3 linked regions of the Styela clava genome follow. The main gene of each other region encodes a partner of the protein of the gene in region 2 in a complex. Links are inferred from orthologs where the notes say so. Each region holds a gene or a part of one and is shown on either strand. Other genes may lie near its edges. The genes, in order: microfibrillar-associated protein 1-like, splicing factor 3B subunit 3-like and splicing factor 3B subunit 6-like.

Region 1 (10,406 bases), on a different chromosome or scaffold from region 2:
CGCATGTGATACATTGTTATCAGTTTTGTAAATATCTTTTTTTACTGTCTTATATCGAGCTGATTCTGTGTCACCATACTCGTTTTGCACTTCATCTTGATCATCAAACAAATGTACCTCTGTACGGTCCAGTGGAAAATAATATTTAGACCATTGCGCTCAAATATTTTAGCTGATCGCTAAAGCATGGCTGAATGGTACTTGATACCACCCGAATTTTAAATACTTGATGGAGACTTAATGAAGGAAGAAAGTGATGCATCAGTATCATAAAAGCTGCGGGGCATCTCGAAATACATTTTGCTTTGTAGAAGTTACCCGGCCTACCTGAGAATTTATTTGTTTTTTTGTACATATTGGTATGACTTTATTTGCACATATTTTTGAATAGAAGTTGTATAAAACATTGCAAGTCGAAGTTTGAGTTATATCGTCTGTTAGATATAATAAAGATGTTAAAAATCTCCCACAATTTTTATCTTATCAACGTTTCAAGATATTTAGGTATATTTTTACCTGCCTACAAGTTGGAAAATCGGTACAAATATACAAAATTTATAAACAATTATCCTGAGGTTAGTTGTTAGCAAAACAATTGCTGTCATGAATATCCGCATGTAAGCAGTACAAAAGTGGGACATCCTGAAATATGCGCACCAAGATAGCGCCAACCTGAACTCAGGTTGTGTACCAGGCTAGGGTTCATGTTGTGCGACATCTTGGTGCGCATACTTCAGGAGTACCCAAAAGTTAATGTGACTTGTGAAATTGGAGTTCAGCTTTTAAAATTTCTTGAATGTTTGGTTTCTGACTATGCACAAATCTGCATCAGTCAGCCATGTTCGATGTACTGATTTTTGATTAATGCAATTAAACTACAAATCCTAACAAGGCAAAATGATGATTGACTTATTTGATTCATACTAAAATGTCCGAAACACAACCAAAAACTAACGAATAGCATTCAAAATCGCGAAAAAGAGGTAGGGGAAAGTTGGGACACTTTTTTTCTTTTGTATATTTTGAGCCGTTAATTCTGCATGTTCACTTAAGTTGGCGGGACTAATGCAGAGAGGGGGAAATGTAGTTTTTATTCAGCGACTAAGAAATTCTCTTGCGACACACATCTTACTATCAAAATGCCAATACGAAACAAATATTTTCAGACCATCCCACGGCGAAATTCGGAAGGCACATCCACTCGCTAACGTTATGAATATTTTACAGTGGACTAAAGCTGAAAAATATCAGACGGTGGTTTGTCATGTTGGAAAAGCTAAAGTAGAAAAAAGAATAAAATGAAACGGTGAATTATTAGTTTCAACCTCCCAAAACCATTTTCACCTCATAGCTTGCGCCTCTCTACCCGTCCGTTGTCCGTTCGCGGGGACGTTGTAATTCACCGAAGGGCGGATTGAAACATCGAACCTCTGACAGGATTGCTGATATAGTATCAGTGTAAGAGCTGATTTTCCACTGTGCCCCACCTTCCGCTATTGTTTACAACCACGAATGAAAATCTATCTGTCCGAGTGGATGCGAAAACGCCTATTGTTATGTCACTTTTGCACCATGCTGATTGGTCAATGTTACGAAATAAACAAGGAAGTTGATGCTCGGGAAACATACATTGGGAAATAATTTCGCCTTTTCCTCGTGTTACTGCGGGCCAGATGAAAAAAAGCGAAGGGACGGATCTGGCCCGCGGACCGTAGTTCGGTGCCTCCTGAGATGGACAAAGTCAGACTAAGAAACAAAATCGCCTCCGCATGGATGAGATTATTTTTTGTGATCCCTTGCGCAACGATATGGCTCATCGTACTAAGCGTTAGGAATACGCTCGCCACCGCACCCCCGATTACTCTGCGTGGGTTCGCAGGTTCGAATCACATGCTGGGATGGTTATGTGCGAGAAGATTGCTGAACTCCTCGCCGCCGCGGTTCACGTAAGCTCTGGTCAGTTCCGGCTTCCTCCACCATCAAGTCCATGGTTCCGAAAACAAATAACTAACTAATCCCATACCCGACGTGGAATGGTAATAGGACGAGAGGCCGTGGTTCGACATATGGTTAAGCCGTCCTATCGGCTTTCCTCTCCCTGGGATAAATATGTAAATCCTATCCAACGAGTTCGGCGCAGGATGTCAATGCATGCCCCAAATTGTAATAAACCTCCAGCAGTATTTTCTTATCCACTGGTATTTTCCCACCGCACTGGTGTTTTAGGTCAGTTAGTCTTTGTGCATGCAACCCCACTCCATGTTACAATGCGTTTATTTCGTTACCTGGGAATTTATATTAGAACAAATAAAGAAACGTACATACAAAAGTGCTTTTATTCGATCAGTTTGTAAACTGTCGGCATACCCTCCAATTCAGTAAAGCTTTACATATCTGCAAATTATTAGGGTATTTTTTGCAAATGCAAATATCCAAATACCACATTTTCACTTTATTTTTGAGGTGCACAGAAACCGCTATTATATAAAGTACTTCATGAACGGGTAGTCAGTCAATCAGTATCAAAAAAGGGTTGATATTTCCACGATAAAAAGCTATATGTTTACTACATACCAGAGATGGCCATTGAAAATGAATAACAATTTTGTCTTAATATATAGTAATGGAGATATCTTTTTACAACGGTTACAGATAATGGATTTTGTATAATTCATTCCTTGACTTTCCTTACAAATTGATAAAAATTTTCAATAAAACTCAAAATAAATATTCTATTCCATAGTGAAAGCTCTTGAATTCTAACATTTTTGAGAAATGGAGCCATAAAGTGAAAAAAAAATGAGAGCCCGTTTGCACAGTACAACAAATTATTTGAACCTTATACCGTAAGTTTGCCACTTGGTAATCTTACGCTCCCCATCTTGGTCCTACAACCAACCAAGGATGTTCAAATTAAAACCAAATACAACATAGGTAAAATATTATGTTTTCCTTTGTTTTCCAGAAGGCCGTTCGAAATTTTGTTTCATTCCGCCACCTTTATTAGACATAAATTTGCCTGACAAAGCGTTATCTTGATTCCAGGGGGAGTCGTACACTGTAGTGTCCTGATCAAGTAAATGTGTGTATTTGGTTCTACCAGATCGGCCAAAGTTTTTAACTTGCATGACTTTAGGTAAAACAGATTTATCGAAATGATCTTCAAGGGTTGGATTCGTAATATCACGTTTTAGTGTATCATCTTCTTCATCAAGATAAAAGGCACCACGATGATAATATTTTTGTAAAAATTTGTATTTTCCTTTTTGTAGTTGATTGGTAACGACCTTTGGATTGTTACGAAGTTCAGCTTTACGTTCTTCTTCCGTCATGTTTCTCAATCGTTCAGCTTCTTCCTTTGCTTTCTGTTCAGCTTCTCTTTCATCTCTGTCACGTTTGATTCGTTTTAACTCCCGCAGTTTCCATGCTTCATATTCGTCCTCATCGTTTCCATCGTCAGAATCGACCATTTTAACACTTGCTAGGAGTTTATTTTCTTCGTCGACCTCCATACGAGCTTCTTTTTCGACGAGTTGCAAAGTATATTTTCTTCTTTCTTCCATGACTTTACGAGCTTGTTCTTCAGAATTTTTCAGTTTTTCTTCTTCTTCACGTTCTTGAATGGTTATTCGATCTTTCTTTCTAACGAAAACAGGTTTTAATCTTGGTCCTTCATCCTCGGAATCTGAATATTCGGATTCCGAAGTAAATTCTTCATCATCGTCACTGCTTTTCGCTCGATCCATTTCTTCTTCTTTGATATGTACTTCTGATGTCTGTTGCACTTGATCGAAAAGTTCTTCTTCAGTCTGTCGTTTTGCTTGTACTCTTTGTCGAAGCAACATTCTTCTATTTTCTATTTCATCATCATCTAAATCCTCATCGTCACTGCTTTCCTCTTCAACAACTGTAACTTTTTTTGAATATGGTTTACTTTCTTCTGGTTCCGAATCTTCCCCTTCACTGATAACTTCCGGTTCGAAATTGCGCCGATGTCTCAACCTATCGCCTCGTTCTTGTTCTGTCGGACTTCTATCCATGAGTCTTTGTAATCTTCTATCGACAACAGATTTTTGAGAGTGAGATTGTTCTCCTTGATCTCTCATTTCATAATTAGTATCCACATCATCTCGATCATAATTTTTATTTTCAAATTTTCCTCCCTCGTCGTCAGAATCTCTATCAAGATCTAATTCTGGAGCCCATTCAGGTTTTTTACCGGCAACATATCGCTTGACTTTTACTTTTTTCATTGAAATTTCACCTTTTTCATTTCTAATTGAAACCGCACCAGCCGTGAACATGATTGGCTGAGGCTTGGAGGATTCCTCCAAAAACCTCTCTTGACCGAGAGTAAACATCTTGTAAGTATTTCCTAAAGTTATAATGAAGAACCTCTAGAGAAGGAATTTAATAATTAGTTTACTAATATTATAATTCTTATTATACAAAATCGCTTCAAATTGCTAGCAAACTGGGTAAACCCCAAGAATTTAGATTGAATGAAATTTGCGATTACTGCCAATTGTAAAAGATTTTTAAGAATAGCAGTTTGCAGAATATAATGATTTTGGTTGAGGACAGTGTTTCGCAATATGCCCCTCCCCCCACCCCGCCCTTCCAAATGCTCTGAACACTTGTGGCCCACTGATGAACCATGAGAACACCTAGTTTTAATTTTAACGGATTTCCATCATTTTATATGCCATGTAATAGTAAAAAATGCCAAAAACCAAAAGAATAAATGGATTACAGCAAAAGAATTACCAAATTACAGTCAAATGTACTTCAGTTTAAATTAATATATTCATCTCAAATACTTTGAAGGTTTTTGCTTGAAGCCCCAGCTTGAGAAACCTTGGTAATAATATAATAGTTATACAGTAATACAAGAAAGGCGATGTGAAAAACAGTAAAATTGAATGTTTTTGACATCAATAATCATACTGCAACGATGGAGTGAACAACATTCAGACATTCCAATACCTGAATAAAGCTGAATAAAAGTGATACAACTCTGCAATGCTCTTTTGACTAAAAGTCTTATAATAACAAAACGGAGTGATACGAATAGGATGGCCATGTCAGCATGCATACCAAAATTAGCGACAGCTTGAACTTGTATTTTCATAGAAAAGTTCTAAACATGGTCTTCGAGGCGACCAACTTTCAGAAACATACCGGTACCGTTCCAGTAGTAGATTATGATCATATAGCCTATCTGTATATTTCGGTACAACAATTTGACCATCCTGTGCGCAAATTATAGGAAAAGTCACCAGCCAGCTAGCGAAAACAGTAACCCAATCTAATAATTTACTTGTCATTACTGCAAGCACAAGCCAGGTAGAAAATTTCCAACTCCTCCAGACAGTGAAGCACACTAGGTACCGTACTGGTACCCTGCGGTCGCTGCGTAAATACAGAAATAACAGAATGAAGACTGCTGACTTCCAGGTTTTACTAATTTCAGAATTTAGACAGAAGTCTTAAATCTATAGCATTACAAAATTTATAAATACGGTACCGGTGCGTATACTTCAATATTGGAATTCCAAATTACTAACGATGCATTTCATAAATCTTTCTGAATACCATGGCCATGCTGCCATATAATAGGTAGAGGCAAGGTACCGGTACTATACGGTAACATCTTTTATGACTGTATGAGTTTGACGAATATCGCGATAAAAACAACAACGACAACTTGCGGATTGCGTTGCGACGTTTGAGTGGCTCTGCCCAAACCTTTGAAAATTCTTCGCTGACTTCCGTAACATTGACTAATCAGAAAGGTTTTTCACGGATAGAGGTATAAGTTTATGTCGACTCCAAAATCACCATACCAAACGATATAATATTTGATAAAAACACAAAACGAAAAACTGATTATAAAATTAGGATTTTCATGCTCGGTAATCAAAAATCAGTCTCGTGACCAGCAGCGCTACACAAGATCAGTTAGAAAGTAAACTCATAGTCAATAGTCAAGTCATAGTCAATTTTATTTTTTCCAACCAGCAAAAAAAATAACATACAAAATCAAAAGATAAACAAAATTTAACACACATTTTTACTGGGGAAGGGAAGCCGCGGGGAACCAAATTTGGTTATCGAGCAGCGACACCCAAGATTCGTCATCTAATTTAATTTGGAAACTCGGAAGTTATGTTTTAAGAATAAAATGTACCGGTACAGGTTTGAAAATCCCATCCCATCGGATAACTCGTAGGGTATTCCCTGATTAATCGGGTAAGTAAAGGTCTGAAATGCTGATACGTGTTGTATATATTGTCTAGAAATAGCCTGATTGCGAACACTATAAACACTAATAAGTAGTTTATATATAACCATAGTTTAAATAGGCGCAAACATGCAAATGGCAATGAATTATAAATAGGCCATGTTACAGGATGAAAAGGACGCGGGAAATCAGTGGTGGTTATCGAGCAGCGGCACCTATAAAATAACTCTGGACACTATATTATAAAGAAGAAAAAGTCAAATACAGTGTAAATAAATTGGAAAATAAAATGCATACAATATCTCGAGGCAATCTGCTATAATCAACAGTCGCTCACTTCAACCAATGACATTAAACAACATGATGCGCAACTCCGGCATTTTTGTCCGAAGATCGTATTCGATAGCACGCTCCAATGCACATACTTGACGAGACGAAAACGAGCGGATGTGTGCTGCTTTCAAGGCGTAGCACGAATGGTGTTCGTGCCTGCTTTGACAGTTGTTGTCGATTTTAATGATATTTTTGAAAGTTGGGGTAAAAAGAAATCGGTTAAAGGTAAGGTGAATACTATTGTTGTATATCACACCCGGGCATCGCACTGTTAAGTACATGTGGGAAAGCCAGCCTTTGTCAAATACTACGAAGTTATTAATTCAGTACGGTACGTAGTTGCCCATTTGCCGAAATTACATATTTACTTACCCCTTATGGTTTCAAATAGTTCATGCACCTCCAGTTAGATTTTTTTAATCAGTGAGGATATATACTCATTGTTGATTGCTGCTCATTGTAACATACTATTACGCATTCACTTTTATTTGCGTATTGAATCAAAGTGTTAACAAGTTCACCTAACATTTCACTCATACCGGTCTATATTGTATAGTCTGATTTCTCAAGTATTTGGAGCCACGAATGCTTGTAATTTTATGACTAAACCCTTTTATTAGTTGGTTTATATACCAAATTCAGTAAAATATTTTTTAAATAAAACATGAGATATTGGATTTATTAGCTTTTCCATTCTGAATCATATAGACTGCTTTATTTATTCTTAACGAAAATTAATAAATCTCCTCTCTTTCTTCAGATGTGAAAGTTGTGGACAAACCTGTCTAAGCATTGTGAGACTCTTGCAGCACAAGAGGCAATAGCAGAAATAGTAAGTATATCAATCAAGAAATTAAGCCGACATAAAGCAAAACTTTCAACTATTCGTCTAATCTCAATTTCCTATTATTTATTCACAGGACAACTATAGCAGACGGGGAGATATCAGAAGTCTGGCGACATATCAGTGACAGTGTGATTCCAAGAAATATAATGCATTTGAAAATAGAAAATTGCAATAGAAAAACAACCTATGGAGGCATGCAATAACATTTGACCCTCCGGTAGAGTTGTGTATGGCCCCCACATTCTGCAGGGCTTGAGGAAAATAACTAAAAATTCCAAAGCGTAAGATTGCATAAGCGGTCTTATTTGTAAAAAGGCACAAAACACGCCAGACATAATTAAAACAGCTTTGGAAATGAGGATTACGGGTACCTCACTGCACCTGTGTTATATTTGGTTCATCAACTTTTGGTAGTACTATAGAAGAAATTCCGGAAGGGGTATAATCATCATTCATGATAAAATACTATCATATATTTTTTGAACAACTTCAATCTAGACCAGGGATCTCAAACTCGCGGCCCCAGAGAACTTCCAGTGCGGCCCTCGAACGTTTAACAATAATTGTAATAGTCATATAAAAAAAAATTTTTTTCATTTTTATCTAAATGTAATAGATTTTTCAAACCTTCTAAAGTGAAATTGATTATTCACCCAGAAAACAATTTACTGAAAGTAGTTTTGGAATATTGATTTTTTTTCGTCCACATTTTGACCCAATTAAGAATACACATCAAGCTAGCAAAAGAATACTTGAATAAAACACTTGAGTAATTAAATTAAACGCAAAGTACATGAAGAAGGTGGCATTTTCGAAGAAAATGGGAGTTGTAACATTTCTGCTCTTCACAAAATTCTGAAGCACATTGTTTAATTTGTCATATTTCCATCAATACAATCAAAAAACACAATAAGCTCAGCAGTCAATATGACAAATTCGAAGACCAACTTCGAACAGAAAATTTCCATGTGTTTGTATATTAATATAATTATACAACGACTTAGTTACTAAAAATCAATATCAATAATAATTCAAGCAATCCTATGCCACGCAATGTAGTGCGAAATGTCTTGTCGAAAAAATCTGTCATTTGTTTTTTTACTGATCTATACATGAAATGATAAAAGTAACTTTTTTGCATTACTGGAATTAATTAAACATTCGTAAAGATCCAGATAAACCCATGATCATGTGGCCTCGTTAGTTAGAGTTGGTACTATAAAATCATTTCAGACTGGCCTTAGTATGCTGGTGACACAAAAAAGATGCCAAACGCCAGGACAAATGTAATTATTAAAACATTGAGTTTATACTGTAGTATTTTTGTTAATTTTAGGTTCATATATTTAGATTAAGTTATTTTTAGTGTATGTATTATTCTTTCCTTATTCAAAGCTTGTTCAAAAATGATTTTGATGGTTGTACATAGAATTTTACGATTTTTTATAATAAATACTGTAACTTGCAAATGTTGCAATAATAGTGGAATGCAAATATTAATATGTAATTGCATTTGAAATTGAAGAAAATAATAAAACTTAATCCAACTGTTTAGTTGCATCACAATATATGAAACAAACTAAAACTATCTTAAAAATATCTTTTAAGTATACATTATCAAAAACTGTTTGCGGCTCTTTTTACAATTTTCAAAATGCAATGCGGCTCTCGAAAACCCATGAGTTTGACACCACTGATCTATTCTAGACGATTCAAGCATTGCTTTGGGAAATTATATCACTTCAATTAAATTGAAATAATCTCGCTATATTAAATACAAAATCTTTGCTATCATAAAGGTAAACCAATTCAGCCACTCGAAATATACTGGCCTTATCAAAGCAATGGAGGCAAAATTGAGAGTTCATGAGCTATGAACATTTGTTCTTTTCTTTGTCTTGAACTTTCCATACTCCACAGCCCCTATTAATTTTTTTTAATTTTAATTACCATGTGATGGTCATACATATCTTTAACTTGTATTTTCTGTCATGATGTATTATCTCAATGTGCCAAACTATTAATTAGTGTGCATATTTTGCTTCCAGATGACATAAATGTATTGTCATGTTTATTACCTCAGCTTGGAGTATTGACAAGAAAAAGGTGCCAGTAAATTAGGTAAAAAAATTTTCAACTCATTGTTATAATCAGAATTCACAATCAATAGGAATTATAAACAGCCAACAATCAGTGAGAATTATATGCGAAATCCCTCAGAATAAATTTGTCTAAAATCGGAGGAAGGCAAAAAATATAGGTAGTTTCCATCCACACAAGCATTTCAAGAAGACTTGCTCGAGCCAAACTAAATGAGCATCGTCAGGTGATCGGTAAGGCTGCAAGTTGAATTCAGCCCTGCAACCTCCTGCATAGAAGATAATATTAATTAGTGGGCTATGAGCTAAATTCCTAAATTTAAACAAACCTATCTACGATGCATTATGTACCAGCAATGTTACCTACGATTAACTGAATATGGAATATGTCTAATAAATTCACCTACAAAAGCAAGTTCGATAGGTGCAAACTTTGTGTTATGGAATTGTATCGCAGCACAGTTTTGTATGACCCCCTCTTTAAATGAAATTTCAATGATTAAGCGCAAACATTAAAATTACTAACTTTGAACTTTGTCATTATCTGCAAAATGTTCCACACAAATCTTTCCGCTATCGCGTTTGTAATCTTCTCTGATAAAAAAAAACGTCTATGATGTCCAGAATTGCTCTTTACAGCTTGCCTGTTATTCCAGCTTTCAAAGTAAGCAAAACTTCTTAGATATAGAGATTATTTTGTTTCGTTACAGGCGCAAAAAGGCAGGTACTATACGTAAAAAAGACGCCGAGTAGCAAGAGCGAGCGGAAAACGGACGCGAAAGGCGACGAGAAATATGTGCATTGGAGCGTATCATGAAATACAATGTTTTGCCTGTAGTCTTATGGAGTGACGTCAGAGTTGCCTATCATGTTGTTTAATGTC
Region 2 (10,701 bases):
GTGATTTCTGATGCTGCATGTAGTCGCTGCGGGTCTTGAACGGTTGCTCACATGCCGCCCAAGTTGAAATCTACGATACTCATCAGCCTTTTTCGTTTAGGCATATCCGTAGTGTTTTTAAAACTATATCGCTTTGTGATGTCACAATATATGTTCCAGAATCCCCTTGTTTGTCACAATGCCTGTCTAGTAATATCTTACATAACATAGACATGTGCTGGGCGCGTGTTCTGAAACGTATTGGGAATTTCCTGCCAAATTCGGCTATAAAAGAGTTTGGGATCTCGTAACAATAGTAAGCTTAGTCTTAGAATATTATATTTTTCTGGGAGCCATATGCCGTCACCAAAAGAGCCATATATGGCTCGCGAGCCATGGGTTCCCGACCCCTGAAATAGATGAAAGTTTGGAAATGTAAATATCCAAAATAAGGCTGGCAAGATCATATCTAATAAATATTTTTATTTTTAATTAGCTTCACGGCCCCTCAAAAAATTGTCCCCCACCGTTTGAGAACCACTGCTCTGGAATGTGTTCCAAATGACAAGGGTTCTGTTTGTTTCAAGTCCCCTATTAGTAACAATATTCGAGCCACTATCTACCCGATATTAGTTGAAATGCATTTCAAACTTACTCTTCTTCTTGGAATGGGAGATTTGATATCAGGTTGATCACCGAAATTTTTGTAAGTAATGTAATTTTCAGCACATACAAGAACGCCACCAGGTCCATCGTTACCACCTGGTACAGTGACCAAATGATTTGCACGTTCGTCTAAAGGTTCGCTGTATTTTCTTACAACGTGGTTGAGTCCAAGATCAAGTTCATAGAATGTTAAGGTCTGAAAAAAATAAAATAAATAATATTTGGAATAACTGTTCTTCTGAGTGTCCCTTGGAACAGGAATCACAATTGCGACTAAATTAGTCGCCATGGCGATCTTGGCTGTACTTCGGCAACTCTGGGTCGTATATTTGTCTCCCAACTGGCAACAAACATGCGGACAGGCCTCGTGCCAGTCTGGAAAGCAAGGCGTTTCTGTTGACCGTTCCATATGTTTAACCGCCAGCCTAATTTTTTATTTGTCAAGTTTGCAGCAAACTTATAAATTTTATCATAGACTACATTTTTCGGAAACCACCCATCAGTTTTACTTTCAAGTTCTTGGCGATCCGGTGTTCCAAGGCAAAATTTGTTTATTAAGAAACGCTGAACTAGATACATTAATTAACAACAGAAAATGCTACAGTAAAACCTCTGGAATTCCTAAATTATATTTATTTTGTTTAGGTTTATACAAGTTTACAGATTTCATATTCTAGATACAATTGGTCTAGTTATCTATCAACCAATTATCATACCAGGTGGGCTTAATTGAATAGCTACTGGACTTGAGCCTTGTTCAAAGCTAAAGAGTTTAAAAAGTATTATTAATTAATTTTATTTTTGTTATTTAATTGTTATACAGGTTCTGTTTTCTGTACCTTTATTGAAAAATGCCAGTTTCACAAACATTCGTTCATTGACAAAATTTTTTGAAATAAAAAAATAAACACACACCTGCTGGGAAAGTTGTGCTGCTTCTCCTGTGGGATCATTATCAGCTTCTTCATAATCCATTTCCAAACATGCAAACATTGGGTTTTCAAATCCTACATCAATACCAGCCATGTGATACACGAGTGTGTTAGCTTTATGTGCTTCCAGAGGAGAAGAAATAGTCAAACGAGCCTCGGAATCCCGATTCAGGATATACACCAGTTTTTGTTTCTCCATAGAACCTAATAAAAATAGGATTTCGATAATATTCACATATACTCATTTGTAAATGTCATGTACTGTTAGCTACATAAAAATAGTGCTTGCATAGTTGCATTGGGCAACTAGATAGTATGTTGTATTAATGATAAAATTATCATATTGGTTTTATGAACACGAAATCAGTGTCAATAACATTGTCATAAGAAAATTTAAATCAAATAAATTAATATACTGGTACCTATCATAACTGCTCTTCCCTTTGGATCAATGGCAAGATATTGTCCTGGTACTATTCTTCTGCATCCACTCTTTCCAAATGTTTCCATATGAACCTGTGCAGAAGAGTGCAAAACAGTATTTTTACTAGGATATATAGAGCAAATGCATGCCAGATTAATTTTAAGAAAATCTAAAAATATAAATGCGTAATATCACGCATGAAGCAAAAATTAGTTCATTTTAGGGTCAGCAACCTTTGGAATTAGAAGAGCTTTTGGCATCCTTGCCGTCAAACTCAAACCAACTTCTACTCTAATGTTAGTGGCTATTAAAACTCTCGGAAAACCACTTATGATGCGATATTCTAGTTCTTACTAGGAAGAAGCCAAATAATTTACGAATTATGCAATAATTCAGTTTACGTTGAAATGAAAAGAACCTAAAAAGAAAAAGTTAGTTCTGACAGATTTGAATCACCTTAATGCGACCTATTTTTACCACTCTCGATTTATAGCTGCTATGATGTGTAATTAGTTTGTAGTAACTTTATGACTCCAACTTTCATTCAATCCCCACTGATTCTAACAAAATCTGCCGTAGCCACTCTAATTCACGGGAACCAGAGCTCCGAGAACAAAGAGCCGCAGTTCACTGGTTGCTGATCTATAGACTATAACAATCAGCCAGCTAGACATATATAAATAGATATTATGAATTCATGACACTAAATCCCTAATTCTCAGGGGTGTGGCAAAAAAGAATTAATATATTTCCCCACTTACTCTGTCAAATTTGTTTTTGTTAGGAATATACTCCAGAATACAAATTCTTCCTGAATCTGTTCCACAGACGACATAATCCTTGTTACCACCAGTTAATCGAAATGACATCAAAGCACGAATAATGCCAAAAACTTCGACCGTCAACAACGTATGAACTTTTCCAGTATTTGGATCAGGTTTGACAAGTTCCAAAATCTTTCCTGGAATTATAAACGTAGAATATTAGCAAAATATACAAAAATTCACATCTTAACATCAGAAAAATTTATGTCTATCTATTTGATAATTTATTTAAAGTTTACAAAATGTGATAACTATGTAATCATTTCTACGATTCAGATTTATTAATAAGCATACATAATTCTCTGTTTGCTAATGAAATTGGAATGCTTGAAATTTTCTTCTATGACACAGGATGAACTGTGAGACCCACCTCAAATAGTGTATCAATTTAGGCAAATCAGTTTTCATCATCTTATTACAGTAAATAAACTAGCAATTTCTGATTATAATACGACATTATCTGATAACAGAAACGGGGGCGTGATGGAATAGCAGATGAAACATGAGACGTGTTAGCATTGAAGTATATAACCATCAAGAACAGGAAAAATTCCATCAAGTTTACCTAATTCCAAACATCAGTGGTTGCTACCATAGGGCCTTGTTCATAGCTAAGAGGCACAAATGCAAGCGTTGTAAAAAAAAATATATTTAGAATTTTTAGCTGTTCCTTCTATTAATATATTCAAGGCTAACAAAGATGAAATTTTTTTAGGGAGTACCTAACAGCCTAAATTGACAAGCCTTTTTCATTGCGAGATTGCAAGCAGATTTTAAATCTTTCCTACAAACATTGATCATTGTGATATTGTTTTTTTGGTGAAAAACTTATGTTATATTTTATTTTCTTAATCCTTTAATTGAATGGGCAGAATGTTAGAGGTGTTATCATTATTTAGTAATGAAGTATTTTAAAATATCAACTAGGAAGTTTTAATCTTAACACACTATTGATATAACTCTGCATAGTAGTTTGTATCTGTTATTTGCCAAGCTCATAAAAGTTTTAGCAATATATTAGAATTACTTAGGTATCATATTTTATCAATTCTTGGTTTTGCAAGAGCTATTTAAACTGCACAAAGTTTTAAGAAAGGAAAAGGTTGGGATTTGATCAATAGTTTAGGTTTCTACACAGTTAGCTTTATAGAAATATGATGAATTAACAATCAATCTCTCTCCTAATGCATGATTTGTTAAGTCAGTCCATAGATATTTTTACCATTTAGAACACCGGTTCTCGACCAGTGGGCCATGGCTCACTGCTAGGCAACAGAATAATTTTCAGGTGGGCCATAAACCTATCGAAAACTATAGGTAAATTTTACTGTAGTGGCAATGAATGATGATGCTACCGAGTGGTGATTTTCATTCTGATTATTAGAGTGAAAGTGTCTGTTCTTCCCGAAAGAATTTTTTGTTTGTCCTTTATATTTTTTCCTATGCATGAAAAAGTTAATGAGCTACAGACTTTTTGTGCAATTAAAATCAGTACGGTTCTCCGATACCAAGTATAGCCACCACATTAATAGAAATCAATTAAAACAGTAAGTGCAAACCCCTCCCTTACGTGTCAGTCAGGTCCTCCGAGCGCAATTTAAAAAAAAGTACCACAAAGGGAAAAAAAATCAGCAAAAAAACGTGATTTTGGTCACATGACAGCCGACGTAGTCACGATCGGTTTAAATTATCATAGAGACAAGCATGGCGCAATAGTTTTTGTTTCATTGGACCAAATGTCACATCATATTGGAACCGTGCCCTACTGATAATGAGCCACGAAAGAAAAAAAGTTGAGAACCACTGATTTAGAGTCGTTGAGACTCTTAATTCACCAGTTACCATCTACGTTCATTATAAAACACAAGTTATTATAACTAAGCCCTACCTCTAGACAGGGCAATCTCCTGCTGCTTCGTGCCAGAAAAATTCCCATGGACAGCATGCGTTATTGTGCTAGCTCGTTGAAGTGTGAGAGCATAGAGAAACATTTTGTTATGAATGTGTCCAAATAATCAGATGAACAGCTCCGAACACAACCCTCGCGTTGTTCAATGTTTTATATTTTTTATTCAATATGAAATTCTAAAATATGTATTAACGAACACATGAAACACAAGTTAGAAACTGAGAGGCAGTGTTGATTATTAAGAGAAACCATGATGTTAGTATTGAAAAATTTACACCAATAATTATACAGATAGGACAGTTGAAAAGTTGTCATTTTTATTTGACAGAATTCAATTAATTCGGAGTTATAATACAAGATTAAATAAATCGAAACCCTTCTTTTCATAGGAAGTTCACTACAAAGTTAAATAGCACTACATAAATTTCAAATATTCAATTCGAATCTTGGAAATAATTAATTTAAGAGAAAGAGCTCTACAGCAAAATACAAGACAGTTTGAAAAAACAACAATATTATATATTTAAGGCCAAAGTGTAAATTGTTCAATCCACTAATATTTTATCAATAGCAATATTCATCCAACATGATAAAGCAAAGATGTTTTTTGAGGTTTCATTCGATAATGCAAAACAAATCAATCAGCTTGCACTGCTGAGAACCCAAGATGAAAGAAACAAATTAGTCAGCGTGTCGATAATTACCAAAAGGAAGGATGAAGCTATAGCTTTGGAGGTGAGTACTTCCATAAATGGAGCTGACCTTGGAGTAACTTCGGTTAAGTTGAGAGGGAAGGCAGGTCAAATGAGGCCAGTTCAGATAAATTGACAAGAGAAATCAAGAAAATGATGTTTTCATATTAACAAAGCAATCGCCATAATATGGAATTTTATCTAATCCAGTAATCAATTGGATGTTGGTGAATGGGAAAGTCAATGGAGCAGTAATCATAACTGATATTTATATCCTTATGGCAGTGTGTATAATTTATTGACCATAAGCCAACTAGTACTGTAGTAGTCTATTGTTTTTCCTTTTATGAACAAAATGTATGTGAAAACTAGAAGTTTCTTCAACTGTCTTGTTCTTCCTCATCTTCAATTTTCGGAGCAAGAAAATATTTGATGTGACCCATGTCTGCTACTTTGTATTCAACAACGAGTGGAACATTGTTTGACATTGATAAACATACAGATGGTGAGAGAGGAGATGCCTTCGCAAATAAGTTCAAATATTTTATCGCGAAAGTCAGCTGAACAGGCTCTGATATTTCGACGGTCACTTGCTCTTCTTCTTTGATATCAGAGCCAGTATTTTGCTTAAGTTTAATTTTTCCAGCTCCTAAGTCTCCTTTTGCAGAAAATTGCACTCCATCTTTAGTACAAGTGATGACAACGCATTCTCCAATTTGGCTTAAATCTCGGCAGATTCTTCCGAATTCTTGGGAGGGAAGTGTCACGCAACAGCTATAATCTTGCTCAGGGATTCCGAGTTGTTCACAATCAAGGTCCATCAACTTCATTTCGTATTGAGAATATTTATCACCTTTCGATGATTCGAAAATCAATTCCAACATATCAGCATTATCTTCTGCTCTTAGGGTAATAATATCGTCATTTCCAGCGCATTTCATAATTTTTGCCATGCTTGTCATGTTGATGCCCATGGCCAGATTTCTATCGCATCTGAAGTTTTCAAATCCATCTGCTCTTAAAGTTAGTTGCACTAGTGAGACGTGGGAACTATCCATTGCTTGTAAACTTATTCCAGATGATGTGCAATCCCATGATGCTTCTGTAACAATGTCTTTCAATGCTTCTTGTACTTTCTTGAGATTACTACCTTGGATAAGACGCGCTTCAAACATTTTGAATGTTGGTGATAAAGAACAAAATAAACGGTTAGGAGGCTATATCGACGCGAGAAGATCGGCAGCTAGCTGTCAACTAAAGAAAACCTCAACAATAAAAAATCTAGACGAAATAAAAAGCGGGAAGAAAAAAAAACGTTCTGGCGGGAACAGCATGGCGAAGTTACGCATGGATAACACAATAAATTGTTCTTACGAAACAGCGCCACCATTTTTTACAAGTAGACATGAAAAAAGATAAATGCAAAAAAGAACAATACTGTACTGGTTAATGCCATGTTTTCCCAAAAATAAGAATAAAAAAGGAAGAAGTATTTATCCCGGGGGAGAGCGGAGCCTATAATACGGCTTAACCATATGACGAACCACGGCCTCTCGTCTGGTTATCATTCCGTGTCTGGTATGGGATTAGTTAGTTATTGGACACGTCATTGTACATAACGATCGTTTCAATCAGGTATTATATATACATATAGGCTTTGGTTTTAATATTATGTTGTTGATCTTGTTTTTCTTCTCCTTCGTCATGATAAAATCGCTTTTCTCTTCGAATACTGGACCAATTGCTTTGAAATTTTCAGTGGTTAATGATTTTTCGCCAGAAGTCTATTCTTTTACTTAATTTAAAAATTTCTGTGGACTTCAAGATATTCGTTTTTTATGTGTCAGAATAAAAAACAGCGACACCTTGTGAAGTGTCCATATATTTGAGCATAGCTGTCGTTTTCGGAAGCATGGACTTAATAAGACCTAATAAGACTGTGTCTTATTTCAATTTCATTTCGAAAAACAACACTATGGCCTGTTTAGGGAGATGTATTATATTTTCATTTATCAAAAACGAAATTACAAAGTAGAGAATTGCGAGATTTTCAAATATACAATATATGAAAACCTGTATCCATTTACTTATTATTACCGTTTTCCTCTTTTTAGATTAATCATTTTTAAAAAGTGTGGAAGAGATTTCTCACTATCGACTGAGTCAAAAAAATTTCCCGGGTTTTCGAGGCTAATGAAAATTTAGAAAAGTACATAATAGGCAGAAACATAAAGAGTATTTAACTATTTATATATATTTATTTTTTGTAATATATATTATTAAAAGTGCGCATGAATGCTGTATTATTTGAGCAGTTCTTGATTTTCCTTGTAGCCTGTATATACCAAGACCTGAAAAAGAACGTTCGACATCTTCCATGTTTATTTACTGAATTTGAATATTCAAAAATCAACTTTATTTAGACTGAAATGAATTGGCATTACATAACGTTATATTAGATTAAAGCGCAAATTGCCTCCGTATAATTCCATAGAGGATTTCGATACAATCTAATTTGGAATCGGGATGGGGGAAGTAGAACTAGCCCAGTTCAAAGCATGTGGTGGGATTTAGCCGGTTTGCACCGGTTCTATAGAACCGTTTCACGGAATTTTATGAGATAAGCAAACCGGTTAGCACTACTGGATACTGTCAATGGATTTTTGCATCTTATCTGACACACCGATATTTGAGATCAAGTAACTCACGTGTTTTTTTTTCGAAATGTAAAATGGTCTCGTAACATTTCGCACGTAACAGTTATACGTTGGGTTACATTTGATAATTGTAGAAATTTTCCATTTGTGATTGTTTGTCTGAAAATTGAATTTATTTGCTAAAAAAATTATGACTTTTTGTAACAGAACCGGCTGAAAAATATGACTTTTGTAATGGAACCAGCTGACATAAAATTTAAATCCCACTGTTGATTCTAACTCTAATCACTTTTTTACATAATAATAAATCAAGTAACTAGAAGTCTATCGTACGTAAAACGACTAGATTAAAACGGCGTAAGCGACAACATATATACACAGAAAAAATATTCAAATGTCCGCGGGCCCAAAGGCAAGTAACGAGCAAAATGAATGCTCTTCACGTCGTCGGTTGGGGCTGCTTTTCTCATAAAACTCAATACATGTGGAACAATTATCTGCTTGGTCATATCCATCCTAAAATGATGCGTAAGCAAAATGTAGTGGTTTGTCATTTTGATAAATCCGTATAATCGGATTCCTCTCACGGAATCAATATGAAAATCCTATCGTTCTTCACTTTTCCTTCTGGCGGTCTAGAGAAAGCCAAACTAAACAAAATATCATATGAACATTGGAAAAGCCATTATACAACCTTATTTTTTTATTCCTGCATTATGTGACTTCACATAACTCATTCAAGTTTTTATTTCGCATTAAATATCAGAATACAGAACCACAATTGAGACTGAAATAAATTAATGAGAGTTTATATCCTCAAATCGCATACACTAAAATCATTCTCGCTTGTGAGAAAGACAAGTATGTGGTTTCTTCGTTATTTTCGAACCTGTTGAACGTTTGCGCCTTTTGGGTGAGATATATTTTCCATTTCCCCTTATCAAATACTTCTGTTTTGTAATTCTTGTTGATTTTATTTTCTTCGCAAGTGGTTTGAGTATTTTCAGGCTCTTATTTTCCCTTTTCGATGTCTTTGCTTTAATTTTTCTTTCATCGGCTTCAAATCTTCGCCTTCTTTGTTCATCCCATTCGTGAATTAACATGCTAATAACGCTGGTAAACTGTGGCTGAATTGGGTGCGCATGGCTTGCTGAAATTGTAGATCTTGCATTTTGATTTCTAGATGGCATTGTTTTTTATTTTTCTTTCTTATAAGCTTGTCAAATTCTGCAATGTACCTAAGTATTAGATTGCCCTATTTATATGTCATCATGCTAGAAAAAAGTCCTTATCAGCTCAATAGTGATCCGGCGACTGATAAGCTTGTATTTGATTTACAGCCTTTTTTCGTTATCAGGTGCGAGTAACAAACAATATCTTCGGAGCGTTATCATTTTTTGCAGTTAGGTGTTGATTATGGCTTAAAATATTCATCTTATCGGAAGCGCAAATCAGATATTGTGTAAGTTCATCTATTGTCCAAGTCCATCTCACACAATGATATGCCAATGTTATATCCTATGGGCCTATACTACCTCCGTGCTAAGTTTATGAACTACATCGATCAGTGTAAAGAATGCAAACATTGTTTGTAGCATGGAAATGTTCTTACCTGAAAGGGCCGCCGTTTCGTAATATATGGCCGCTGAAGCAGTAATTCTATTTCCTAGCCCAGGGTTTGCCAAACTGGGATTCGTGATGACTGCTGCATATAGAGCCTGCAACGATATGTAAAGAGTCTGATCGATCTTTAATGATTGATTTCAATCGAAACGCCATTGTATCTTTTTGGTTGAGCGTTGCGAACGAACATGCTCTGCCGAGTCTACTTTTAAATGCGCCAGAATTTGAAAGCGAATTTTTGTTTCATGACAATTACAATTTTAAATGCCTGTATATCCTGTACTTTTATTTGTTCATCTTTTGGTAAAAAGTTTTAGATAGACCTGTCTCGTGTCAAATAACATTCCACAAACCATTAGATGATAAACAAAATATATATCTGCTGTGTCTTTATAGAATTACAGAAAGCATTTGATACAGTTGATCACAAAATATCATTGCATAAGTTAACTTCATGGGCCTTCCACATCGAGAAATTTTTGTGTGAATGAGCTCAATACGAGTCATCATCTATTACAAATAGGTTACTACCAGGCAATCTTCCACATCCTCTTGATTCATTCTTGTCACGTATTTCGGTAAATGCTGTCTAAACAGGAACTCCGGCAATTTTGTTGGAGTATTATAGAACAAATATAAATTTACTTCAAATATAAATCCACGTTACATTATCCCAGTAGCTCCCCACCTGGGGGTATTCAGATATTACGCATCCACAAAATCGAATTTTTCAGAGATATGGCACATGAATGCTTTGTTGCACAACACGGATTGAGTCGCATTCAGATATTTCTGATGTCACATATGGAACTCAATTGTCAGCATTTTGTAATCGGTATTTAGTTGCGCTACTGCAGAGGTCGGCAACGTTTTTTACGAGTGTGACAATTTGTAATATTCAATGTCAAAATAGACGTTTGCGTGCCGATGAAAAATTTCGTTATATAAACAGACCTGAGGACAGTACAGATTGATAAAATGTAAATGTAAAATGG
Region 3 (11,482 bases), on a different chromosome or scaffold from region 2:
GAAAACGGAGTGCGAAGTAGTGCATCAACCTTATTCATTATGAGGTCTAAGGCAAAGAAATGCGAAGCCGGAAAGAAGTGAGGAGCTCAAAAGGAATGTGGAAAATCGAAAGCAAATGGACTAAAGGTCTCTAACTGATTCAAATAGCGAAACAAGCGACAAAAACGAAGGCGAGGAAACTATCAACTCTTCAAGCAACCAACGAACGAGAAGGAATGCGTGAATATGTCAACACGTTGTTGTAAGAAACGTCGGCATTGTGTCGTCATAATTTCGGGGCTAGCCCCGATCGGCCCCGATGATTTAGTAAAAGAAACAGAAAACAAACGAGACAAACGCGGCGAGTGGAAGATAAAAGAGAGAATACGATATACAATGAGCAACGGGGGCAAAATCGGCGTCGCCCCGTCGACGTTCGGCGAAGGCTTTGCGAGCGAAAAATGAACCATGTCGGGAGAATATGGCTAGTGTAGACAGTCTGTGCAACCGATATTGAGGTATTTTTCGAATATTTTTTTATTATACCGAAAAAACACCCGGGGCATTGCCCCGGTTGGCCCTATTGACGTGCCGCCACTGAATGTTATATTGGGGGTGTCCCGTGATAGATCAAATGACGACGAACTCGACGGCTAAAATATTTGGAAAACCATCACTGATTTCTAACAATTTTCACCAATAGGATTGAACAATCATATTTCGTTTTTCCTGCTAGTGCGACTTCAGTGATGCTGTTGTAGCGGGCAGGCTACATAAGAATAGTAGGATAGTTAGGATAAGGATAAGAAAAAAGATTTACATATCTATCCCGGGGATGCCATGTCGGGTATGGGATTAGTTTTATTGTTTGTCTTCGGAAGCATGGACTTGGTGGTGGAGTAAGCCGTAACCGACCAGCGGTTACGTTAACCCCCAACGACGGCGAGGAGTCCAGCGATCCTCTCACACATAACCATCCCTGCATGGGATTCGGACCTGCGAACCCACGCAGAGTAATTAGAGGTGCGGTGGCGAGCGTGTCCCTTACGCTTAGCCCGTTGAGCCACACCGCCGCGCCTGTGTATTCTAGTATTCTTCACCACATATTGTTAATAGTGCATGTTATTTGCCTGAAACAAGATCGTTGCTCTAATTCATTCCCTTTATGATATATTTTCCTTCGCTCAGTGCTGCTCGTGTTTATCGTGCGCATTGTTAGTTAGAAATTTGGTTTCATCATATATATTGGGGTTAAGGTTTTAAGTGTATTTCGTTATCTGTTATTTGGATTGTGCATCTAAATATACGAACATTTAGCATTCAATCTATTGTGTGCTTATTGACCTCTGAAGGAGTCAGTTGGGGTTTTACTCCGCTAACGTGTGTTTAATAACAGGGGGGTAAGAACGCGCAGATAGGGTCAACAGTCCCCTATACTGTAATAGGTATCCCTAACCCCTTAATGAGGATGTCCCCATGATAGATCAAATGGCGACGATCTATGGAGCTAAAATACGTGGAAAAACACTATTGACGAAGTGTCTAGTTTCGTGTTTTTGAACATCTTTAATCTTTCTTAATTTAGGGTACATGCTATAACTTGCTCACATGCTCAACCCGTGATAATAAGGTAACAATTGGCAGTAACTAGAGCGCAAGAAGCTAAACACTTGAAGTATTAAACGTACTGTATTAGTATTCATTTACGTTTCACCGTTAAACTATTGCACTAAAAGTCGGCGGGCCATTTTTAATCGTTACAAGTGCCGTAATTAACCCGCGGTTTGGGAACCCCAGGTTCAGGGGCATAACTTGTGTAATTTTTTTAGCTTCCTTTTAATCAGTATTAAGTTAGATCGTTTGTGAGCATTTCTGAGAATAAATAATGTGACCGTCTTTGTTCGTTTTGCCACATTTTGCGCCCTCCAGCAGCGTGCCGCCCGTGGATTTATCTACAAGATCCAATGGGTAGCTACGTCACTGCATCCAAACCTTTATTTAGAAGCCCATTTAGTACCTCGACGTAATAGCAGTTCAATTAGCCTGTAACACGAGCTGCGGTAATTTTATTGGTGGCGAGTTCCCAATTTCATCTACTAAAACGATAAATCCAACTTCCGTGAATAGGTGAGCGGTCAAAAACTGTAATATGCAAAGGTTACCTGTCAATAACCTTCATAAACAGTTCTCTCAGCAGCTAAATAAGCACCCATAAAGTAACCTGGTAGGCACATTCTGATACATTACTACAACTATATACAAACATTTGAAGTAAATGTAGATGATATAAACAATGTATTTACAAAAAGCGCTCCATTGAAATGGAAGCTGTAGGGTACCCACATTTTTGTAACAATATTGAGAAAGTATGAAAAGTGCCATAAGCAAATATTGAGAAGACAAAATTGGCAAATTTATAAGTTTTCAAAGAGTGGGGGTTGCAAGCGCGAAAATAACTTTGGATTAATTCTAGAATTAGATCTGACAAACTTCAAAAATTTTTTTTGTGACATAGCGTTTAACCTTGATTTGCGCTATTTTCACGAAAAGTGAGCGAATTGTATGCCTGTTCCATGATTGAAAATGTCTACACAAAAACAATGACGAGTTGTTTGATGGTGAAATTCTAGACAATTTTGCAGTATATACCAAAGTGGATAAATTTCAGTTTCTAGTCACAGATCCAACTGCCAATACTTTGTCATCCAATAAACACACTGCCTCTCCGGTAAAAAATTAAAAACAAAAGGAAAGCCATCTTGGATTCACTTTTTGTCGTCTGTGCTTACACCAAATTTAGCTTTCATCTTTTCCAAATTTTCTTGCTTCTTTTTAGCATCTTGTTTCTTGAATGTCTGAAAGTGTGTAATTGAACCAAATGTCACTTTTATAATTGGAAAACATTGCAATATAATAATATACATGATCCCAATATAATTGAACTAAATAAATTTGTTCACTGTTCTAATGCAAATGTTGGGTGATTTTATCTATATATTAAATATGCAATATAATATTTAAAGTGGAATGAGTTAATGACTAATAGTTTAAAGGCTAATATAATAAGTAGCAGATTAGAATAAATGAGATATCTGAAAGGTGACACAATCATAAATGATTCAGATATTAGTTCCCTTGCGACAATCTTACGTGAATGTAAAAATAAAGATAAAGTCAGTTCTTCAACCAATGTCATCATTGGTTAAATAAAACCAAACCATATTAAATTAAAAATTATATTATAAAGAATAATATGGATTCATGCTCGATTTCTGGAAGCCAAACGTGGAACACGTACCCTGTTTGGATTGTAATATAAAACTACAAGATATCTGTTGCAAACATTGAAACCAGATAAATGATCACAGGCATTCTTTGCATCAAATATATCTTCATATACAATATATGCAGTTCCCTTTGACTCAGCTGTAGTTCCCCTGTAATGAACAATAAAATAAATAGTCAGTACATTGAATGTTGAAGGGAATAGAAAAGAGAAGTTTTTAATTGTGACGTAATGGGCTGAGATCAATTCCTTGAAATGAACAACAATTACCTTAAGTAAAGCTTAGTGTTCCACACTACATCGGACATAACCATCCTTGGCCAAATATTTAGATTCTTTTTATCTCAATAAATGTATATTTTCAATAAAAATGATATCTTACATTCGTATTTGTCTGATTGCACCGTACTTTCCGAATATATCATACATTTCTTCAGCTGTGATTTTGTATGGTAAATTCCTGACATATAAAATTCTGTTAACTTCTGGTGGAAGTCTCACCTGAAATATAAAAAATATTATATAACAATTGTCATGAAATGGAGTTTTTGTTAATCAAAAATTAAAAAAATTTCAAATTAATATATTATAATTTTGAAAACAGTCATTTACACAAAGTATTCATAAAAATGAATAAAATTTGAAATTGTTGACAACAACGTGCTGATATTTATTTTCTACCTTAGGTGTGGGTCTTGTAAAACTGAAAATTATAGACATGAATGTTATTAGCCGCTATAAATTATAGAATCAACAGAAAAAAGAAGATATTCTTGTGGAGGTAAGAAGGAATACAGAAGGTCGATGTTAAAATTAAAACAGAGTTAACAGCACATTCGATAAATATTATTAAAATTGGTTTAAATATCCATTTGTGTTTGATGAAGCACTCGAAAAAGTTCTAGGGTAAAAAAAAATATTTTAGGTACGGTACCCGTATTTATAGTAATAGGCAGGCATACACAGCTATGCAATTTCATGTCAGTGTGAAAGTGCAATAGATTAAGATATAAAACTGCTTTGGCAGTTTGGTAACGATGGCAGACTTTCAAAATCACAAATTTAGTAGGCTAGTGTCCGAGGGTCGATAAATTATTATTTACTAATTTTACAATTGAATTTATTCATGAGAATTATTACAGTTAATTGATATAGGCTACGGTACCTTAACTTAATTCTGATGTGATAATTCTGTCATAATTCAGTAATTTAAATTCTTTTTGATGACATGGCACTTACTTCAACATTCAACAAAACTAGAATTACAAAACTTTAAAATCTGGAGTGATTGATGAAGTTGCAGTGGAGCTTATTCCAGTCATTTATTACAGACCCCACAGCTGAATGGTAAGTTAGGTCTGTAGGTACGGACACGGTACCGTACTGGTACCGGTATGTATTTCATTATAATTCGCGACGTCTTACGAAAACTATCATATAAAAACTAAAGCAAAATCATTTACAATTTAAAAACTTACATTAGCTCGCCTTGCCGCTTGCATAGCCATCTTGAAATTCAGATATTTGGAATAAACCAGCGAAAACACCTCTGTGAAGCCGAACAACAGACAAGAAATCGTCAAATAGTATTTATGTATAGAAAGATCCTACGCGTAAAATAGGAATGTTCCCATTTAAAACAATCTATTTCAATAGTGCTATAATATGACGCAATAACGCTGGGGAAACGTAACAAGAACGATTCGCGGATGCCCAATGCTGTTAAAAAGTGTCATAAGTTTTACCATTATGTTGTGGTCATTTTGATCATAATTGCCTTCCGTGGATATCGATATTCTAATGGGCAGCTTGTTTTTATAAATGCGTCGATTTGAATCTAATTTTTCCTTTAAACACAGTTGGTAAGATGCCATTTCTAATCTGTTGCCCAATGCTCAACAGGCTTTGTTTGCGCTTAACATCAATTTATTTGCTTGCTCATATTCTCGCTAGCTACTGCGCTTGATATAGTTTTCTCTGTAGTACTGAGTAGGGTTCCAGTAACAAGGCGTCCTGCAATCAATAATTCGGTGTTCTGCAATCTATTTTGGATTTGAAAGAAAATTTAGATCATGGACGATGATATCACAGGGGCCCAAACCTTGGCGGAAAGTCTGAAAGCACAAGTATGTATATGTGGGTTATTTATGCCAATGTCAGAATGTGTTGCATTCTACAGAAATAACAATACAGCAATATGTTAACAATTCTAGCGGTATGTCCAACATATTTACTGTGATATTTTCATGATTTTTTCGCAGGGAATCAAATACATGTTTGGAGTGGTTGGAATTCCTGTCATAGAGGTTGCAATTGCAGCACAGGCAGTCGGCATTCAATACATTGGAATGAGAAATGAACAAGCTGCTGCATATGCTGCTGGTGCTATTGGATATTTGACTGGACGGCCAGGTTCCCTTTTGATCTGATTGTTCAAATTGTTTATCAGTTTTCTGTGGCATGTTTGATCCAGTTTTTCAAAATTTTTGAGAACCAAATTTATTTTATTCCTTATCCATTTGAGTACTTTCAGATCCTTGTACTGCTTATTATTTCACAATTGAATGCATCTAAACAGATAATAATTTTGCTTTGAAAAGGTGGAATATTTATTGTGTGGATGGTACTTTTAAGATAAGGCATAGAAATATCATATTTTTACTGGAAATGTTCAACATTTTCAGTTCAAATAAAAGTTGCTGAAGCATGGAAAATATGCTTCTATTTACTACAGGAGTGGTGACTCCTCTACGGCCCATGGGCCGGGGCCACGGCCCATCTAATTGGGCCACATGGGCCGTGGCCCATAGCTTGATGGGCCGCGGCCCCATCAGGAAAAATTCAATTATCTTAACAAAATTTTCAATTTTTACCAAATTGTCGATATTCGAACCAAAAAAATATACTCCTGTAGTATGTGTACCAGGTTAGGGTTAGGACAAAAAAAATTCAGATTTTTTACATTATAGTTCTATTATGAGTTCGGGGACTGTCTGTGTTAGCCAAGTGAATAGTTTCTTTACACAACTTGATGGGCCGTGGCCCCGGCCCATGGGCCGCAGAGGAGTCACCACTCCCACTCTCTATTTAAGAATTCTAGAAAAATTAGCTATTAACCATAATTTTAACTCAAGCTCAGCGGAGAGAGAGTGGTGAAGAATTATTTGAATTTTTTATGCGCACTGATATTAATGATTTTCTGTAATTCACAGGTGTATGTCTGGTTGTGTCAGGGCCTGGTCTGATACACGCTTTAGGTGGAATGGCAAACGCTCAAGAAAACTGCTGGCCCATGATTACTGTTGGAGGTTCATCTGATCAAGATCAGGAACAGATGGGGGCATTTCAAGAATTTGCCCAGGTATATTAGGGGTTATCATAACAAGGTTATGTCACCATTTTTATAAGTCTAAATTTATAGCTATACTTGTATTTGTCTATGGATTTTGTTTCCTTATAATACGGATTTGGGACTTCAGAATGATTAGGCCTATTCAGTTATATACAGTATATATTTACCCCAATTTATCATCTCCAGGTAGAAGCAAGTCGGATGTATACCAAATTTTCTGCTAGACCATCTAGTCTTGAAGCAATACCATTGGTTGTTGAGAAAGCTGTTAGAACATCTATATATGGAAGACCTGGTGCTTGTTATATTGATATTCCTGGCAATTTTGTAAATGCTTCAGTGAGAAGGGGTGATTGTAGGTAAGCTTCACCAAATTTCTGATTGTTATACATCAGTGTGTAGTAACCTGAAATGAATATTTTCAAGTAAATTATTTTATGGACCATGCCTTCTGTATTGGAGAATTTTCAAGTTATCAGTTTTGGAAATACTCCAACCAAGTCACCGAAGTAGCAAAAAATTGCATTGAAGATAATTTCACACATTCATAGATGCCTTCCTAAAATATTGAAAAATTGACTAGCTTGTTTCTGCAATATGTCAAAATATGGCTGCATTGATACCGAGACAAATATTGTCAATAGATTAATGAATTCTAGTTTGATTTTCACAATGACATTTATTTCATATCTCCATGCCAATGAGGGGCATATTTATCTATATCATTGTTTTTATGAAATCTATTTCAACTCGAAACAGCAGTGACCCAACATGATTTGTGAATCGGGAGGGCAGTAAGTATCAGCTTGATTTGAGACTGATGACTTACTGCTCGCAACTTGGAGATTTAGCAACATTCATTAAATACTGATATTTATGCTTATTTATTATATTCAGACAGTTTCCAATGTGCCCAAATCCATCAGGCTTGAAAGCTGATTTGAATGTTATGAAGAAAGCATGTCAGACATTGATGATTGCTAAAAGACCATTGGTTATCATAGGCAAGGGGGCAGCCTACTCCAGATCTGAAAAAGAAGTGCTGGAATTTGTGGAGAAGCATTCGTTGCCCTTTTTGCCTACACCTATGGGAAAGGGTGTGATACGTGATGACCATCCATTATGTGTATCTGCTGCGAGGTCTAGGTAAGTTACCTCCAATTATTTGATTTTTCAATGGAATGATAGCAAACGAAATTATACAAAATGAAAATATTGGAATATTTCCAGGGCTCTTCAGATGGCAGACTGTATACTGTTGATTGGTGCAAGATTGAACTGGCAACTTCATTTTGGAAGGTAACTATTGTTTATTTTTCAAAATTGACCAACGTTTTTTGGTAGCGCAACCAAAGCACTAACAACAGCTGCAGAAAATTTATTTATTGCAGTAGTGAAACTAGACTTTCCGGCAGTGAGTTATATATAACCTGTCTATCTGCGTACAATTTTTACAAAAAAACGCCTAAAAGCACAATTTAATAATACAGATATTGCTTACATATGCTTCTCTAGACATACATCACAAAATAATAATTTGATTTCATTTTGTCACACTACTGAGTAACAATCCTGTTTCAAAATATATAGAAATTAATAGAATAATACGGTTTTTGCACAAATGCTCCCTGATGTGCCCAAATTGTTCAACTGTCATTACTTTCCAGTTGCCCGTAATTTTTGTTCATCAACCAAATTTGTATCCATAAGTACTGTCATATTTTAGGCCTCCGCGATTTGATGAATATGTAAAAGTGATTCAGATTGATATCTGTGCTGAAGAATTGGGGAATAATGTTCCAAGCAGTATTGGCATCCATGGCAATATATCAGATGTGGTTAAACAGGTATGTTGAAATTTATATATACATATATGCTGAAACTCATGTTCGCATAATACAAATAGCATCGGCGAATTTACTTTCTAGACACATTTTTAAGCATTTGAATTGCTATCCATTAGTTGTGATTTTTTATATCTCACCAAGCAAAGGCTGATGAGTATGTGACGTTTTTATCAGAGATTATTAGTATATCCGTGAATATCATTTGTCATTCAAATTAACTGTTTCTATTTTTTTTTGAAAATTTAGATGCAGCAACACTTTGTTGGAATTCACAGAGGTATCATGTGGAAACATCCAACTGATTCTAAGTGGTGGGAAGCTTTGAACGAGAAAATTGAGAAAAATGATGAGCAAGTTAAGGTATAACAATTAATCGTAATTTAATTCAGATAAATTTTGTAAATGGAATGAATTGTTTGTTATTCATGTTTATGTTGATTGATAGTTTTTTGTAATATATCTTACTTTTTCTTTGTAGGCGATGTGTGCGGATCATTCCGTACCGCTCAGCTACTATGCCGTTTATGATATATTGAACAAGTACTTGCCTAAAGATAGCATCATTATTGGGGAAGGAGCAAATACTATGGACATTGGAAGAACTATGATGAAAAACTATTACCCAAGACATAGGTTTGGAATGATTATTAGACTGTTTTGTACAAGGCAATTGTCTTGTATTGTAATAATACCATAAAATTGATTCAACATATGATTTCTCATAGGCTTGATGCTGGTACTTTTGGAACAATGGGAGTAGGGGTTGGCTTTGCAATTGCAGCTGCTTTATATGCTCAAGATTCTGCAAAACCAGGACAAAAACCTCAAAAAGTGGTAAGCTAGTTTCTTTGGTTTCTCGCGGCTTCCCATCCCCAGTAAAAATGTGTGGTGAATTTTATTTATTTTTCAATTTCGGAAAAAAATAAAATTGACTAGGACTTAGTGAAGGTTGAATTAATTTTTATTACTTTATTTCATTACTTCTTGACGACACAGTGCCAGAATCTAGTAGTTTGGCATTTTGCCTGGTAATCATTGATGAAGGGAAAAAATTATTTTCATTGAAATGTTTGAATGAATTTTAAAATTGAAGAATTAATTCTGGGGTATTCTATATAGGATAGTGTTTGGAATGTAACAGCAAGCAATATAGTGTATTCAACAAATGCATGAAAAGGGACAATTAGTGTCAACTTCAACCATACAAGAATTGTATGGGAATTGTCATGAACTCTGAATTGATATTTACTATTTAGGTATGTGTACAAGGTGACAGTGCTTTTGGATTTTCTGGAATGGAATTAGAGACTGTAGTACGATACAAACTTCCCATTATTTTTGTGGTTGTCAACAACAACGGTATTTACAGTGGTGGACCTAAAATGTTCTGGGATGGACTAAAAACAACAGAAGATGTTGCAACTGGGTAGGTGTATTGGTTTCTTGATGAAATAAAATGAACTGGCTAGATTGGTCTTGACTTGGATGAAAATCAATTCACATTTTCTCTCAATAAATTTTTTACTGAATTTCTTGAACATCTATAATTTAATTGTTAATTTTTACTTTGGTTAGGTCACTTCCGATGTTCTTGACTCCAAATTCTCGTTATGAGCAGATAATGAGTGCTTTCGGAGGAATTGGCTACTATGCAGAAACACCCGATAACTTTGATCAAGCCCTTAACAATGCTTTCAACAAACATGCTGATAATGGGGAGCCCTGTCTAACCAATGTTATGATCGATTTGACTTCTGAGCGAAAGCAGCAAGAATTTCAATGGCTTACAAGAAGTAAAATGTGAACCTAACGGCTGTCAACCAAGTCATGAATAATTCCAATTTAATTTTTTGTTTTAATATACAGAAGTGTTTATCATCTCTTCTATGCAATTGATATTAATTTTAAATCTGCGTTTCCTATTAAATCCTATTTATTATCATTGCAAGTGATATTATCTTTGTAAAGGGGGGGCATTACCACCTGTAGGGCTGAAACAACAACCGTTGATACGGGTGCGACTGCAAGGTATAATTTGGCGTTTTTGGTTGTTTTGCTGTTGTATAGACATTACGATAATAGCATGCATGCAAAAACGCGATTCATTTAAATACCTAGAGCTAGTTTGCCTTTCCAAATTTTTTTTTTACCAGAGCAGTGTTTTCTTGAAGGGTAAATAATTCACAGCTGTCTTGCCTTTCCTTAATAGGCCTGACTAAATATTTCACTAATCTTCTACACAAGCATCAATATATAGGCCCAAAAAATGTTCTAAAACAAAGGAAGAAACCAGGCCTGCCTCAAAACTGGTGATTGATATTTAGTAGCGATTTGAGCTAGAACCAAAAGGTATCTTGAATACCATGATACATACAACACTGTGAAACTTCAGAATGACTATATTTAAAGAAGATGAGAATGAATGTATACTTTCTAAATATTATTTACATAATTTGATGATGGTTCAGGTATAAACGGTCGATGTCGATTGTTTGGTATATTCCCATCATTGTACAGCAATTTGTACAAATATACATAAGCGAATCCTATATTTCAGCGAATTGAATTTGTACAATCTTATACTTGACCCAGTTCACTGTATGATTGAGTCACCACCTACCATGGATAAAGGAAAATTATACACACAACACAATTGCATAGCGGCAGTAGCCATAAAATATGGTATTGGAACTAGCTATCAGATTCATCAAGTTTTTTCTTCCTCTTCTCTTCAATCCAGAGCGTGATTTTATTTTTCAACTCTGTGTTTGGGATAACATCTTGCATTGTAAGAGAAGATCTGTTAAATGGGTCAGTGGGATCACTCATCAGATGTCTTGATATAGTAGATCTGTCTACAACCTGTTTTGATGTTGGTAAAGTCACAGGATCACGCATTAATGTTGACATTAAGGCATCAAAAAATTCATCAGGAGCATCCATAAACATCTCTTCTTCTTCCTCCTCTTGACTGCTAAAGAGTTTGACGCGTTCAGATATTTCCATCATTTTCTGTCG

Evidence for each region.
Region 1: splicing factor 3B subunit 3-like (region 2) and microfibrillar-associated protein 1-like share a complex: the UniProt entries of both Drosophila melanogaster proteins name them as parts of the spliceosome B complex. The link is inferred for Styela clava from reciprocal best matches to the Drosophila melanogaster genes Sf3b3 and Mfap1.
Region 3: splicing factor 3B subunit 3-like (region 2) and splicing factor 3B subunit 6-like share a complex: the UniProt entries of both Drosophila melanogaster proteins name them as parts of the splicing factor SF3B complex. The link is inferred for Styela clava from reciprocal best matches to the Drosophila melanogaster genes Sf3b3 and Sf3b6.

Annotation. Positions count from the first base shown.
Region 1 is NC_135261.1:7,093,237-7,103,642, forward strand, and holds microfibrillar-associated protein 1-like, read right to left. Parts: upstream 4,416-10,406; 5' UTR 4,362-4,415; coding exon 2,943-4,361; 3' UTR 2,323-2,942; downstream 1-2,322. UniProt on the Drosophila melanogaster protein: Required for pre-mRNA splicing.
Region 2 is NC_135262.1:17,042,502-17,053,202, forward strand, and holds the start of splicing factor 3B subunit 3-like, read right to left. Parts: upstream 4,854-10,701; 5' UTR 4,817-4,853; coding exon 4,714-4,816; intron 2,963-4,713; coding exon 2,763-2,962; intron 2,094-2,762; coding exon 2,000-2,093; intron 1,782-1,999; coding exon 1,561-1,781; intron 842-1,560; coding exon 635-841; intron 1-634. Other genes in the region: proliferating cell nuclear antigen, read right to left, coding at 5,807-6,601. UniProt on the Drosophila melanogaster protein: Involved in pre-mRNA splicing as a component of the splicing factor SF3B complex, a constituent of the spliceosome. SF3B complex is required for 'A' complex assembly formed by the stable binding of U2 snRNP to the branchpoint sequence (BPS) in pre-mRNA.
Region 3 is NC_135263.1:10,172,320-10,183,801, forward strand, and holds splicing factor 3B subunit 6-like, read right to left. Parts: upstream 4,888-11,482; 5' UTR 4,774-4,887; coding exon 4,744-4,773; intron 3,767-4,743; coding exon 3,648-3,766; intron 3,417-3,647; coding exon 3,278-3,416; intron 2,835-3,277; coding exon 2,745-2,834; 3' UTR 2,258-2,744; downstream 1-2,257. Other genes in the region: 2-hydroxyacyl-CoA lyase 1-like, read left to right, coding at 5,338-5,391, 5,527-5,677, 6,478-6,626, 6,804-6,976, 7,515-7,763, 7,848-7,916, 8,344-8,464, 8,711-8,824 and 4 more; ubiquitin conjugation factor E4 A-like, read right to left, coding at 11,156-11,482. UniProt on the Drosophila melanogaster protein: Involved in pre-mRNA splicing as a component of the splicing factor SF3B complex. SF3B complex is required for 'A' complex assembly formed by the stable binding of U2 snRNP to the branchpoint sequence (BPS) in pre-mRNA.